Tamandua tetradactyla: one gene and its partner. The protein of the gene in region 1 purifies or fractionates together with the protein of each later gene. This does not show direct contact. Links are inferred from orthologs where the notes say so. Each region holds a gene or a part of one and is shown on either strand. Other genes may lie near its edges.

What was found.
Region 2: the proteins of UQCRB (region 1) and COX6B1 purify together in Homo sapiens (affinity purification with mass spectrometry; 3 studies listed by BioGRID and IntAct, counting the BioPlex papers as one, with this or other methods). This does not show direct contact. The link is inferred for Tamandua tetradactyla from reciprocal best matches to the Homo sapiens genes UQCRB and COX6B1.

What each region holds. Positions count from the first base shown.
Region 1 is NC_135332.1:140,090,627-140,098,002, forward strand, and holds the start of UQCRB (cytochrome b-c1 complex subunit 7), read right to left. Parts: upstream 3,158-7,376; 5' UTR 3,054-3,157; coding exon 3,035-3,053; intron 1-3,034. Other genes in the region: MTERF3 (transcription termination factor 3, mitochondrial), read right to left, coding at 5,924-6,118. UniProt on the Homo sapiens protein: Component of the ubiquinol-cytochrome c oxidoreductase, a multisubunit transmembrane complex that is part of the mitochondrial electron transport chain which drives oxidative phosphorylation.
Region 2 is NC_135342.1:30,361,750-30,369,557, forward strand, and holds the start of COX6B1 (cytochrome c oxidase subunit 6B1), read right to left. Parts: upstream 3,187-7,808; 5' UTR 3,052-3,186; intron 1,468-3,051; 5' UTR 1,457-1,467; coding exon 1,351-1,456; intron 233-1,350; coding exon 132-232; intron 1-131. Other genes in the region: ETV2 (ETS translocation variant 2), read right to left, coding at 5,624-5,782, 6,047-6,159, 6,528-7,007, 7,275-7,334, 7,560-7,637, 7,750-7,808. UniProt on the Homo sapiens protein: Component of the cytochrome c oxidase, the last enzyme in the mitochondrial electron transport chain which drives oxidative phosphorylation.

The DNA of each region.
Region 1 (7,376 bases):
AGGCTTAGGCACATGATGTCTGAGGTAGGTCTTAAAAGAATGGGTAGGAGTTACTCAGACAAAGGAGGGAGGTGGAGGTAGGAGAAAGCAGTATCATCAGAGGAGCATACACTCTGGGGTCAAACTGTCTGTCTTCATATATAGGATCCTGAAGCTAGTTACCTCAAATGTAGGCTCCTAAAGCTAGTTACCTAACTTCTCTGTATCTGTTTTTCCATCTCTAAACTGTGGTCAATACCAATTTTTATCTCCCAGAAACTGCTTCAGAGGAATAAACAAGTTAATACAGTATTATATTATTTTATTTAAATGAGTTATTTAAAGACTCCTATATTAGTTATATATTAACATATCAATATTATAAATCACATGTATATTTTTAAACTTTTTAATTGTGAAATATAACATATATATAAAGCAGCAATAAATTTCCAAGTATGTTTTAACAAGTAGTTATAGAACTAGATTTTAAAGTTTGGTATGGGTTACAGTTCCATGATGTTTCATTTTTTCTTTTAGTTGCTCCAAGACCAAAAGAAATATCTATATAATGATTCAACTGTCATGCTCATTTGTTAAATCCTATCTTCTCTTTTACTCGCCTTCTCTCTCTTTTTTTTTTTGTGTGAAAAATAACGCACAAAAAAGTAGTAAATTTCAAAGTACATCATAGCAATTGGTTGTAGAACAGATTTCAAGTTTTGGTATGGGTTATGATTCCACAATTTTAGGTTTTCACTTCTAGCTGCTCTAAGATACTAGAGCCTAAAAGAAATAACACGATTCAGCACTCATACTCATTTGTTAAACCCTATATTTTCTGCATAACTCTATCATCACCTTTGATCTTTCTCCCACTCTTTAGGGGTATTTAGGCTACACCGATTCTAACTTTTTCATATTGGAAGGGGCTGTCGATAATATGGGATAGGGGGATAAACTAGTTGATGTTCTGGAAAGGCTGGCCCCTCTGCTTTTCATGACCCATTTGGAGGTTGTCCGTTCCTGGAAAGTTACCCTAGTACATAGAACCTCTGTAGAATCTTATATAATGCCATAGGTATTCTTTAGGATTGGCAGGAATGGTTTTGTTTGGGGTTCGGCAAGTTGTGATAGGTAGCAATATCTAGGGGAAGCCTGTGTAAGAGTGACCTCCAGAGTAGCCTCTCAACTCTATTTGAACTCTCTTAGCCACTGGTATCATATCTGTTAGACTTCTTTCCCCTTTTTTGGGTCAGTATGGAATTGCTGATTCCACAGTGCCAGGGCCAGGCTCATCCTAGGGGTCATCTCCCACGCCGCCAGGGAGACTTTCATTCCTGGATGTCATGTCCCATGTTGCGGGGAGGTCAATAGTTTCACTTGTCAGAGTTGGGCTTAGAGAGAGAGAGGCCACATCTGAGCAATGAGAGGTTCTCCAGAAATGACTTTCAGGCATACCTATGGGGTAGGCTAAGCTTCTCTGCTACATACATAAGCTACACAAGAGCTAGCCAGGGCTTGGCCTATTGATTTGGGTGTCCTTAACGTTTGATACAGTATCTACAGTTTTCCTGGAAATCACATATATATTACAGGGACTAAATGAATAAATATTTAATGAGATTCTTAGAAAAGTGACTGGTGATTTATAAGCTTTATTATGAGGGGAAGATGAAAGTATAAGCAAAGCTGAGAGACAGCATTCTTTGTAAGGGAAGCTACATGCAGTTAAATATAGTGGAAGAAGGAATGAATAAACTCTACCACATATTCAGATTGGAGAAGGATGAATTTCCTAATACTTCTTACTTTAACACAAACTTATTTAGGTAGCAAAAGTTAATGGATTAATGGTGCTACTATCAGAATGCTTTTAAAAACTCGAGTGGTTTATACCTTTATTCTATGAATTAAGTATTAGGAATGCACTTTGCCTTCCAAATTAGACATATTTACTAGTGGTAATAATATTTACTGAGCGCTTATATGTCAGCTATTATTCTATTTGCCTTATCTCCATGAGCTCAATTTACAACACGTCTGCGTTGCAGAAGAGGAAGCAACTTCTGCAACTTTATAGAACTTACCCTACCTAATGTCAGAGGTAGCTAGTGGAAATCAGTGCTATCTCACTTCAAGAATGCCTTCGACTTCAGTTGTCAAATTAATGAAATACTGAATTCTTAAACGTCTCTCCACCCCCACCCCACCAGCTCAAAAAAATAACGGATTTTTTCGTCAATCTTATGTTTCCTAAAAGCATCACAAGTATTGGGGAACGGGAAGGTAGGGAGCAATATTTTTTCTTAAAAACTAGTCCAATTTAAACTGCGAAAAAGGTAGAGATCTACCAAACAAAACAAAACAAAAAAACCAAGCAGAAAAAAACCGGCGTGACGTCCACGCGGTTTTAAATATTAGTGCAATTTCTTCGTTCTATCCCATAATAAATGGATTTGTTTTCGTTCTGAAATAAAAAAAATTCCTCAAATCTACAAATTCAATTACTGTTCCAGATAACCCTTGATCTACTGACACTAACTCCCAGGGTAAGAAGCACCCCCACCCTTATTCCACCCTATTTCCTCAATCACTTTGCCAGTTATTTCCTCAGCGTAAATGGAAAACTAATCGTATCGCTGGTAAAAGAACTTCACGAGCTAATGCATATGAAAGCGCTTGGCTCCACAGTAAGCACTTAGTGCATTTTGGTTGATACTTAACCACTAATGATCTCCTTGGGCGCCTGAACACTTTACGGGGTCCGGAATCACATTCCGGAAAAATAATGCGGACTGCCGAGCACCGCCAGCTGGAAGGAAGGCCGGGGCTATCGGAGACACCGCGGGCACCTTCACGAACAGAATGTTCGTTTACCAACTTTGCGCAAGGCAGGCCCGGGGACAGCTGGGGCGGGGGGAAAAACGTCTTTTGCCTGGGCCAGAGCCGCCACCCTCCCTTACGTTACAAACCTAGCCACACAGAGTGAGCAAAGGAAGAGGAATAAAAGGTAGACCCGGGGGATAATCGCCAGACAGGACGAGACACTTACCAGCAGGGCGGCCCGCCATTTTGACCCCAGAGTAAAGCGTTGCCTACTGGGTAAGTCCTAGAAGACGTGCCGGACCCAGTGCGCAGGCGCCTTAGCGGAGCCAAGCGAGAGAAAGGGTGGCCACCGCCGGAAGACGCTCGCGCAGGCGCAGCGCTGACGGCCGATGTTAGGGACGCTGGGGTTAAGCTAACGGAATCGGTCAGACGTTTCGTCCAGTTTCCCAAGAAACATTACTTATGATATGGAAGAAAGAATAGTAGGCAAGCAGTTAGGAGAACTAGGGTTAGCCCGGATTCTGTTACTGTTTAGCTGTAAGAGCTTTTTTTTTTGGCAATGTTAAATTTGAGCCCTTTGTGCCAAGTTAAAGTGTTGTGCGTTTTACGGTCATGTTCTCATCTAATTCTTCCCCCAAATTTTTGAGATAAATACACTGATCCCCATTGTAGAGTGAGAAAACTGAGGCTCAGAAAGGTTGGACAAATTTTGTTCAAGGGCATGGGGCTAGGAAGTGTTCAAATTCAAGACTCCTTGACTACAAGTCACAGGCTACACTATTAACCATAAAAGATACTAAACCTCTCTTGCCTTCATTTTCTCCAGCTGAACAATATACATCACACCACTTTAGGGGAAGATTAGGGTCAGAAAAAAATGTCAATATTAAGTCGAAGCTATACTGCAGAATTTGTATATTACTATAGATACAACAGGAACAAGTACATGGATTTATCCATTTGAAAGGTCTCAGACCAACTTCTTAAGTCTAAGGTATAAATGCCTAGAAATAGAAAACAATTGAGGGGATTAGTATGACTGATAAGTTGAATCTCTTACTAGTGGCTTTCTACCATTACCTACCAATACTGTTTTTTCGAGTCTTAAGCTGAAACCTGGGACAGTACAGGATTGTCTCACTGTAAAGTCAAGTTAGATTTAATGGTCTTAGTCCCATTCCAGTTCTAAAACCCCATCTGCTGCCTTTTGTTTCTTCTGACTCCATGCTGCGTCATTTTCTTGTATAAGTTTTCTATGCAGCACTAAAAATGGACGAATGAGTGCTCCCAGACTACACTGGCCAGTGAAATCTTAAAGATGTGAAGAAATGCAATATATTTGTACGCTGGCACATTGCATCACAAAGGGCATACTCAATAAACCTTTCTTCCTTCCTCTTCCACCTTTAAATTTCAGCTTGCTGGCTGCAGGGTGAAGAAGATGCCAAGAGAAGAAAGTTCTTATGTCAAGGCATGAAGTAACAGGACTATCATAAAATCGAGCTCCTACAGGGAAAGCCTGGGTGTTTACTGGTAGTCATTAATACTAGCACAGAATATTTTTGGTTTTTCTCCCTCCTGGCAAATGGTAGGATTGCACTTCCCTTCCCCTTCAAGTTAGGCATGTGGTTAACCTTGGCTAGGAAATACATTTTTAAGAGCAATTCTCCATTTCCCTTTCCCCTTCTATGGACTTGCAATAGTGTCAGAAATTGTGGCAATACTCCTGAAAATGACAATACTCTATCAACCTCTATCACTACATGATGTGGAGCAGAGCCCCTTGTGGTTCCAACATGGATAAGTATGATTGAGAGAGAAACTTTTGCAGTTTCAAATAATTTGAGGTTTTAGGATTGTTCATTATAGTAGCATACTTAGCCTATCTGAGTGGGTTGAGACGAAATGAAGTTCTCGGCCTCAAAGACCAGGCAGGACCGTGGCCTCACAGCTGTACCTCATCCTTGTTTCCTTTGCTTGTTGATCTCATTCATTAGACAATTCCATGAAGCTGCGTATCTCTGCCACACTCACCAGTGTGTTTAGGAACACAAAGGTTTGTTGAGACAATGAATACAATATGTAACAGGAGGGCCACTATACTTGGCCCTGATCAATTACAAATTTAGTTACTCATGAGGTTTCAGGACATACAGCACGCCACAAAACACTGATGAACACCAACTATCCCCAAAGTTAGTGGCTTTAAGCACTTTATTTCTTCCAGTTCTGTCTGGTGCTTAATTGGTATGGCTGAAATAGCTGGGGTTTGGTTAGACTGCTCTCTTCATGACATTTCCCTTCTGTCTGGTGCTTCATTGATACAAATGAAATAGCTGGGGTTTGGTTTGGTGGCTCTCTCTACGTCACATCTCTTAGTAACCAGACCCAAGAAAATGTTGCAAGATGACAAGCTCCAGTGTGCAAGTGTATATCAAGTTTCAATTCATGCTGTGTTTTTGCATGTTGGCAATAAGTAAAAAGGTTTATTATGGTCTTTTTACTATGTCTCATTGCCCTCTCCATACCTTCGAACTTTACTTCCCTCCCTATCCCTTTTCCTTTGTTAATTCTCAGTAGTCAACTTTGCACAGCTTCTGAATATGCACACTCAGGGAGATGAATAACACTGTAGAAAACCCAAAATTGAATAAGTTTCGTAGCATTGTCTACATTAAATAGATGTTAGATGAATAATGTACTATACTTCAGATATAACAACTTAAAAAACAAAGTGTGATGAAACCACTTTAAATGACCTGTGAATGAAAGAGTGGGAAAGTCTCCAGTGTTCTTGTCTTCACCAGAACTCTCTATCAGAGTGACAGGAAAATCAGTGACAGAGCACCAGCCTCAACTAATTCTTAGTAAACTTTCTCTAAGCTTGCTATATTTTCAGTTCACCCTTTCCTGAGAAGGAAGGAAATGATTGTGTCAGAGAAGAATTTATGTCACTAAGAACTTATAAGAAAATCTACCAGAAGTGTACTCAAATTTATAATATCAAGCCACTGTTTCCAATATCAATGGAGACCTGAGGAATTTATTTAAAATAGATTTATTTATTCATATGTACATTCATTTTACATTATTATATTTTAACAGTCATCAAAAACTAAAGAGTTTTTAAGAATTTTTCAAAGTCCTGTACTGAAGCTTTGGCAATCTCTTGACAGAATATTTCATCGGGAATAGATACTAATTTGTCCAAAGAGATGTAGTTAGGTTTTACTGGATCATACTGTGCTCTTCCCAAATAGGTAAGAAACAAATGTCTTTCTTTGACTTTAAGCAGCTTTGTATTAAATACCTAGAAAATAAAAAAAAAGTTTTTTAAAAACACTGTGCCCTGAAAGATGAAAAATTAAAACTTACTTGGTTAAAAATTTTAATAGGTTAATATTTATAAAGTATTGAATACATGCTCAGTAAATATCATAAATGCTACAGGATTTTAATCCTATTGCTTCTGCTAAGAAACAGTTAAAAGGGACTCAAAACAATTATAAAATAAAGTCAAAGAACAACAACTTTTCCAGGAGAAAAGAGAGAATTTGTTAGTCTTAACAGCAAAGCTACAGGTTCCACTCAGACCTACTTACTTAATCAGAAACTTTGGGAGTGGGGTGCAGAAAACTGTTTTAACACGCCCTCCAGATGATTCTGATGTTTGCCAAGTTTGAGAATCATAAAATATCAAGGTCTACAGCATCAAACATAAGAGTTCACAATCTGTGAAGCTTCCCTATATGTGTATCTTTTTTTTTTTAATTTAAATTCCTGCTGTTATTTCTGTCCAGAATAAAAATGAAATGAATATAGTTTCTTTAAGGAGCAACTAGGGAAAGTATGTCTTACAGCCAACCCTGTAATCAAAACTCTCCAAAAATAGCGGTGGCAACTTTAAAAAGGAATCAGAAACAGGCTAAGTCCCTGTAGTCACTGCAAAAAAAAAGGGTGGATGGGAGATCTAGCCAGGCTTGAGATAGAGCCCTGAAGCTTGAGAGAGATCACCAAGACTTGTTAAGGCCCAAATGAACCACAGTTGGTATTATGTCTAAAATTCTTCTCTTGGCTATATTATGACACATTGGGAACACTTCATGGCATATAACTTCCAGGACTCTTTCTCTTTGTTCAAATGCAAACAAAACAGTAACACACCACTTCAAAAGGACATTATGAAACACAACTGCTGAAAACTAAATGCTCTGAAAACAGTGATTAAAAAATATACAGTATGCTTATTTAATATGGGGTTGACTTGTTTTTGGAACAAGACACCCCCTTTCTGTCCCTGCAAAAACAAATTACACGTTATTCTGCCTTTATTTTGGTCATTAAATTCTCGATGCCACACTGTTACTGCTCACAATATAAAAAGCAAAAAGGACATAGATGGAATTTTTTCTAAGTATGGCTCCTATGCAGACTCGTGGTCTACAAAATTATCATTCAATACAACATATAAATTCACATATGAATCTCAGCTTCCAAGGTGTTAACTATTAATTTCCTAAATATAATAACACTTTGAAAAATTTATATATTTCTCGAGTAGTTCAAGG
Region 2 (7,808 bases), on another chromosome or scaffold:
CAAAAGCCCTGTAGACAATGTTATACCTTGTCTTCCCTTGTCCCTTAGAGATGAGCTCCCGCCAAGTCACCACACTCTCCTCTGCTCGGACCTGCCCCTGCATCCCAAGAGTCCCAACAGGAAGCACCTACCCAGGATATGGGGCAGAGGGACTTATACACACGCCGGTACCATTCACACACGGAGACGTCACCCCCTTTATCAGTCATTGCCTTCTCGCAGCGGTGGAAGTCTGTAAAGAAAGGGGTTCAGGGTCATTTCTGAACACACTTCTGACCAAAACTCACAGCGGGAAATATTTTATACCTCATGATCAGTCTCACACACACACACATATTGAAAATAGAAGTTTCACAAAGAAACAAATCCATTAAAAAGGGCTGAGCACAACTCACTAAACTGATTTTGTAATCCACTAGAGAACTGTTGCCTGACTTGTAAACACTGGGATCAGGAATGATGGGGAAGCATTAGCACACAGATTATGGAGCCCAAAACCAGGGCAAGGGAAGGGGAAAATGATCTTGACGATAAGGTGCTGGGAGTTCCAGAGAGGAAGGCGGGAAAGGAATAATCTGTTTTTTTTTAAAATAGGTAATTCATTAAAATAAAAACAAACAAAAATAAATTAAAAACAAACAAACAAAAAGGCAATTCACTCCTGGGCACATTTCCTAGACAGGAATGCATGCACACAGCATTGGATTACATTTCTATGAATGTTTATAGCAGCCCTATTCATCAAAGCCCCAAACTGAAAGCCACACAAGTGTACATGGAAAGAACTGTGGAATACTGTATACCACAGCATATAAGATTCCTGAACTGAATGAAGAAAGCCAAAAAGAACACAGAGTACTATAAAGTTCACAAAGGGGCAAACTTAAAACAAGGAGGTAAAACCAAAAATGTGATATAATATTGAATATTGGTTACACTTCTAGTAGGGGGAGGGAGTTGTGCTCAAGATGGAGCATGTAGTGGTTGGGGAGTTTAGAGTACTAGCAACATTCTATTTTTCTATCCAGGTTATGGCCGTACAGGGGTTCACTTTAGAATTATTGTTTTAGCTTACATTATGTTTTACATATGTTTCATTACACACACACAAACACACACACACATACACTTAAAAATCATTGTAAGAACCAAAGTTTGTGACTGGTTCAGATGCTGAGGTGATTGTTAATGAGGGCATGGGCCCTCCAGGGTTATGATGTTCAGAATAAAAGTAGCGTCCAGGACCAGTGTTAAGGTGCATGGGTCCTCTAGGAGTAGGTAAGAGGTGAGGGACTTGAGGATTGGGACTAGGGGAAGGTCTGCACTTTCCCATGACCACACCCTTCTTACCCAGGTAGTTCTGCCAGCAGTTCCTGGTCTGGTTCTGGTTGGGGAAGCGGCTGTCAAAAGGGGCAGTTCTGTAGTTCTTAATTTTGGTCTTGATGTCTTCTGCCATGATGCTGACTCCTGGAGGCAAAGTGGGTGGACGTTGGTAAGGGTTGGAGGGCTTAGACATGGGCATCTCAGCCCACCCAGGACCAAATGAGGCCCAAATCCAGAAAATTGGGCTGAGTATAAAGAAGTCATCACTCCCCTCCCCTAACACACACACTCACACACAAGTGAACTGCAGGGCCAATCCATACATCTGGTGTGGAAGTCATAACAGGTTGGGGCAAACCCTTAGCAAAATCAAGTCTCTTATCCCAAATAATACTAGCTACATTACTGAATAAATTTACAGGCCAGATGCTGTTCAACATACTTGACTCCTCTAACAGCCTCTGTATAAGGTCAGAACTATTACTATCCCCATTTCTTGACAAGGAAGGAATCAGACATCTAAGTGACTTCCCAAGGTCATGCCACACACAACTGATGGGGCTGTACTCAGTTACTGGACTACCATACACTGCAGAGGTTCTTAATCTTTTTGGTGCTATGAACTGCTCTGGGGTTTGATTAATCCTACAAACCGCATTCTCAGAATATGTTTAAATGCATTAAAAACTGCACTGGGTCAAAAAGAAAACCAGTTATATCTAGCTGTAGATTTATTAACTGCCATAGTATTGATTTAACCACAAGTAAAACTATTTTGTGATATCTGCAACAACTAATGTGATATAAGAACATCTGTGATTTCAAATGGTGACAAAAGTCACAGGTGCCAGAAGCATCACAGCAGTAATAACCATGCTTCTGAGATTGTTGCCTCCATTCCAAAGGGAAGGAAATGGTACATTTCAATTGGAGGCCAGCAAAAACAGATATAATTTTTTCCCCATTTAACCACTAGCACTCCTTGAAACCTATTAGTTCTGTGGACGTAGGGTTAAAATTTGATATTATGTCTCTAAAAAAGGGACACACAGTAGCCATGGAACCTATGAGAAATGGCCTCTGTATTCCAGAAATTCAAGGAGTCATGGACTACATAGAGGTGCATCGGCCGGTGTCCAATTCAAGCGGCCCAAGGCAGTGTTGGGGCTCTGGTAGCACTAAACAGTCCTTCCGGAGAGGGAGGACTATAAAACACCAGCCGCTGGGACAGAGTCGTCTAAAGAGCTTCGGGTGATATCTCGACCCAATATGTGGGGGTGTTGGTGGATCCGGAACGACGCTGCGGTCCCTCCAACGTGCAAGGGGGAAGCGGGATCAGCCACCAGGGAGTCAAGCTGCGGCTCAAACAAAACCCCGGGGGTCACGCCCGCGGCTTGGTGATTAAGAGCAATGCAGTCCAAATTAATGGGTCTAAACCCTAGTAGCTACGGCCTCGACTAAGAAGCTTATTATCTCTCAGCCTCAGTCAGGGTTGGGGGTAAGATTAAAGAATCAATCTAACTAAATCGCCTGGAAGGTTGCTGGGCAATAAGGAAGAACTCCACAAACGTTAGTTGTTATTATTAACAGAACAACCAAGGCCCGGGGCTGGCACACTGGGATGTAGGACGCCACCAGCTGGAACCCTCATCCCGTTCTCGGGGAAGTGGGGTTCGGTTCCCCAAGCCCCCATACTAGGGTCCCAGGTATCTGAGCCCCCACACTCACCTAGCAGCGCCTCTGAAGCTGCTCGCTGCTCAATGTGACCCTCAGCCCAAACGTCTGTCTAGGACCGGAAGCGGAATTAAGACTGGCCGGAAGTGCGGCGAAGCCGGGTACTGGGTAGTCTACAGCGCGCCTACAGCGCGTATGGGTAGCCGAGTCCCGGAAGTCACTCTGGGCCCGCCCATCCTTCGAACTCCGACATCCCATTGGGCTTTGAAATGCATGTTTAACATCACTACCGGGACAAAAGAGAGTTCGTGTGGCTCTTCAGATAACTAGGAGCAGCAGTTGGGGACGCCAAATTACAGGCTCTCTTCACCTTGACTGTATCAGGGGGAAAGATTTCTGAGTCCCGGGACTGGCTGGAGAGAAGACTGTCTCGGGGAGAATGTCCCAGAAGAGGTGCTTTTATTCATGCAAGAAATATTTATTGAGCGTTTATCCTGAGCCAGACTCTTGTGTAAGTTTTGGGGATACATTATTGTACAAAATACAAAACCCCCATCCTTATTATGATTGTTACGGGGTTGATTGTCATACCACGACAATCAACGAACTAATCGCTTGAAACGAATTAATCTCTTTCCTGGGGTCATTGACTGGATTGTCCAGACCCTACATTCCCTTCCCAAATCTAATCTCGTTCACTCTGCCTTAAAATATGTATCTAGAGTCCTCCCCTGCCAAATTTGGTTCACGCCACCGTCAACTCCATCATGGACTATTGCAGTAGTCTCTGCCTGGCCTTCTGGCTTCTCTGCTGACCTCCACATTTTGTCTAACCAGCCACAAGAACTCTGTTGACACCTGTGTCATATTACATCCCTCCTCAGTCCAGAATTTACCCCGGCTGCTGGTCTGACTCCGAGCAAAAGCTAAAGTCCTTACAAATGGCCTACACAATCTACTTGCCTCATCCCCTCGCCCCCAATATTCTCATCTACCCTTCTCACTGCACTAGCCACATTGACTTTGCAGTTTCTTAAACGTACAGGCTAGCTTCCCCCCAAGGGCCTTTGCACTTGCTGTTTCTTTGGCTTAGAATGCTGTTCCTGCAGATGGCTCCCTCCCTTATCTCCTTTGCTCAAATGTCTCTGAGAGTCTTTCTCAGATTTCCCTTCCCTACTTTATTGTTACACAGCACTTATCTCTTCGTGTATTATAGTACTTACTATAGCCTTCCTTTTTTTTAATTTTTTTTAAATGTTTACCTCTTATTTATCTCTCTCATTAGGATAGAAGCACCATAAAGGAGCTATTTTTGTCTGTCTTATTCACCATTGTGACTCCAGCACCTACAACAATGCTTGGCACATAGAATGTGCTCTATAAATTAATGAATGCATTTCTTGTATGAATGAAGGGGGAATCTGAGAGCTGGGAGAAGGAGTTGTGAAAGCACACTGCTTTTCTCCCTCCTCTCAGCGTGGCTTCTAAGCTTCCCACATACTGTCTTGGGTGCAGTGTCCAGGTCTAACTAGGTCAGGGGCCTCTCATACATTCTGTGTTTATCAATGTTGAAATTATTTGTGAACCTACCTGTTCACATGTCTGCATCCACCCACCCACCACCACCTTTCAATGAAATCTTCCTAAAGCTGAAACTACTCCTCTATTTAACTCCTCCATGGCTTTAGATCCTATGTGAGCTGGCCCATATTCCCAAGCCACATTCCCAATTCCTTGAACAGTAAGAACAGTGCTATGAGATCTTCACCTGCAGGCCTTTGTTCATGCTGTTCTCCCTGCCTGGAACACTCTTTAATTAGCTGACTTCTCAGATCAGCGGACTCCCCTATCTGGACCCCTCCCCCACATTCCAGGTCAAGTTTTTCTTTTTAGGCTCCCTCAACCCCCTGGGGTTCCCCATCCCTGCCCTGACCAATCTGGATTGCCCCTGTCTGGCAATGGTTTTATCTCCACCTTGGACTGTGAGCTCCCTGAGGGCAGGTCTCTGGGCTGCCATGACCATTGCTGTATCCCAGCACTGTCCACAGTAGGGGAACATAGTAGGCTTTCTTTCAGGACTGGATCTGAGTCCTCAGTGGTTCCCAGAATGGGGTAGTACCCAGTAGGGTCTCCTAGGTCCGAGTTCTATGTTCCCTAGTCTGGGTTGGGGAAACAGATTAGGTGGTGTGGAGGGACAAGCACCAGGTCTAATTTCTTCATGGTCCCCAGCACTGAGAGGGCACACTAAGCTCTTTTTGGAGTTCTGAGTCTTAGTCCTCTCTATGCCCTCTCTAGGGCCAACACAGTTAGTGATTGTGTCTGATTCCTTTACCTGTCCCAACACAGGGCAGGCACACAGTAGGCCCTAGAGGCACTGGATCTAATTCCCTTGTAGGTCACATCACAGTGTGGGCACACAATTGGCCCCCTAAAAGGCTGGGTCTGTTTTGCTCACCCTTGTTTCTCGATGGCCCAGCAGCGGGTGTGGTGGTGCACACGTAGGTACCCCAGCGGGGGCGGGTCTGTTCAGTGTCAGTGGGAAGAACACAGATGAGAACGCGCTACAAGGCTTGATGGGATATTTTTTATTTGGTCACAGCTCTCTGTCCGCCTTAGTGCGGTCCCGCTAGGCCAAGCCGGGCACGCAGCCTCCGAAACGGTACGTGTACTTGCGCCCACCGCTCTTTCGCACGATGTCGCGGCGGTAGTAGTAGCGCAGGCCGCGACTTAGCTTTTCATAATTCATTCCGGGTTTCCTCTTGCGCTCGCCCCAGAGACGCGCCACCTGGGACGGAGGCGGGGCTGAGTCAGAAAGGGCAGGAAAGGGGGCGGGACCTAGTGATTGGGTAGGAGGAGCGGGGCCAGGATACAGAAAACACCCCTGACAAGGATGGGGTCGAAGCTCCCGATGAGGCTGGCAGAGGGTTGGACGGGACCTAGCCCAGGAGACGCTGGGTGCGGGGCCAAGACTAGGTAGGGTGAATGGAACTGCAGGATTGAGCAAGACGAGGGTAGAGCCGGACCGACCAGGGCTGGAGAGCGACCGCACCTCTTTGGGGTCGCAAAGCTGGAATTCGCGACTGTTCCCCGTCCAGCGGATGCAGCTGCTGCGCGACCCATCGCGGAGCAGCTCTAGGAGAAACTGCCACAGCTGAATGGGACCTGAGGGATGGGAGGCGGGTGAGAGGTTTTCTGGCCCCAGTCCACGCCACTTGGGTGACCCAGGAGTCCCCTCTTTGATGGGGACTCCAAGAGTGCCTCGAGGACCCAGGCTTCGGGGCCCTCTTTTCTTTCACAAAATCCAGTAGCCTGTGTGCCATCCCCTCGCTCTCTAGAAGCCTACCAGTGTCTGACAGCCTTCTCCTCCCTCAGGACCCAGACCTGAAAACCACCATCCCCTCTTCTCTCCTGCACTGAGGTACTTCAGCCCCGCCCCCCTCGCTACCAGTTTTCCCGGTCCCGCCCCCTACGCCCCAAAGTTAGGTTATCTCTAGACTCCCTGCAGGACACAGTCTTCGCGGTCCTCTCACCTCGGTGGTTAGTTTTGGGGTAACAAGTTAATGTGGGACGGTCCGACTGCTGGCTTTGCTCGGAGGAAATGCAGTCTGAACTCTGGTGCCTCTGGGAAGAGGCCATGCAAGCCGTCTGCGGTCCCAGGTCCCAGGAAGTGGTACAGTCCGAGCCCTCAGGCCCGTCGCACGAAATGGTATAGTCCACGCGCGACTCCCTACCGAGGCCCTCATCCCAGTAGGTGGCGGCATCGGGGCCGACAGAACATCGGGGCCAGCTGGGGATGCTCCCGGCCGTGTGGGCGTGAGACCAAGACGCTGCCCCTGCCGCCAAGGTGCTCCTGTCTAGGCCCGCCGGCCCTTCAGAGCCCGCGAAGTGGGAGGTGACGGGGTCCGGAGGGGCGATGCCCAGGATCTGGGAGACGGGGCTCCGAGGGTCAGCGCCGAGACGCGCCAGGTCGGTCCTGTCTCCTGACCAGGCAAGAGCCGGCAGGGTGGGCTCTGTGTGGAGGAACACACCCCAAGTGAGGGGACTTTAGATGTCCAGGCCCCGGATCCCTTGGGGCTTCTTGGATTCTAAGCTCCAAGCCTCGGTCCCCGCTCCCGATTCCTTGGGGTGGTGGAGGCCGTTACCCTGATTCAGGCTGTGCTACTTTGAGGACACAGGCATCCATAGTCCCAGCCCTGTTCCCCCTTAAAGATCGGGGAAGTTAAGCTTGCAGGCCCAGTGCTTCAGGACCGCCATCCCCCACCTCTCCAAACACTCACCAGTTGCCCATGTAGTGTCTGTTTGTGGTAACGCGGAGCCCCAGTCCAACTGTGGGAACCCTGTCAGGGATAAGATGGTGGGGAAGGTGTGAGCAATGACTAGGGACTAACCGCCCCCCACCCAGGAATTAGTGCTCCAGGACCCACTTACTCAGAACTAGGACTCTGAGACCCCTCCACCTTCAACCTCAGGAGTCCAAGCATGCAGCCTCTTTCCCACTCAGACCCAGGAGCCCAGCTTCCCCCCTTTCTTCCCAGTACTCAGGGGGCCCAGCCTGAAGCTACCTTTCCAGCATGTCTCCACTGTCAGCCTGTCCCCTTGGAGTGCCAGTTCAGGGAAATAGAAGCCAAGTTCAGCTCCTGCTGCAGGCAATGAGGAAGTTAGGTTTAGGTCAGGTGTCAACAGACCCCACCACAGGACCCCATCTAGGCACCCTTTCCACACACTGTCTCAGCCCCAGCAACTTATGCAGACCTGAGATCCTGTTCCCTGGAGGCAGTTCCTGTGGTGATGCTTCATCCCAGTTCCACAAA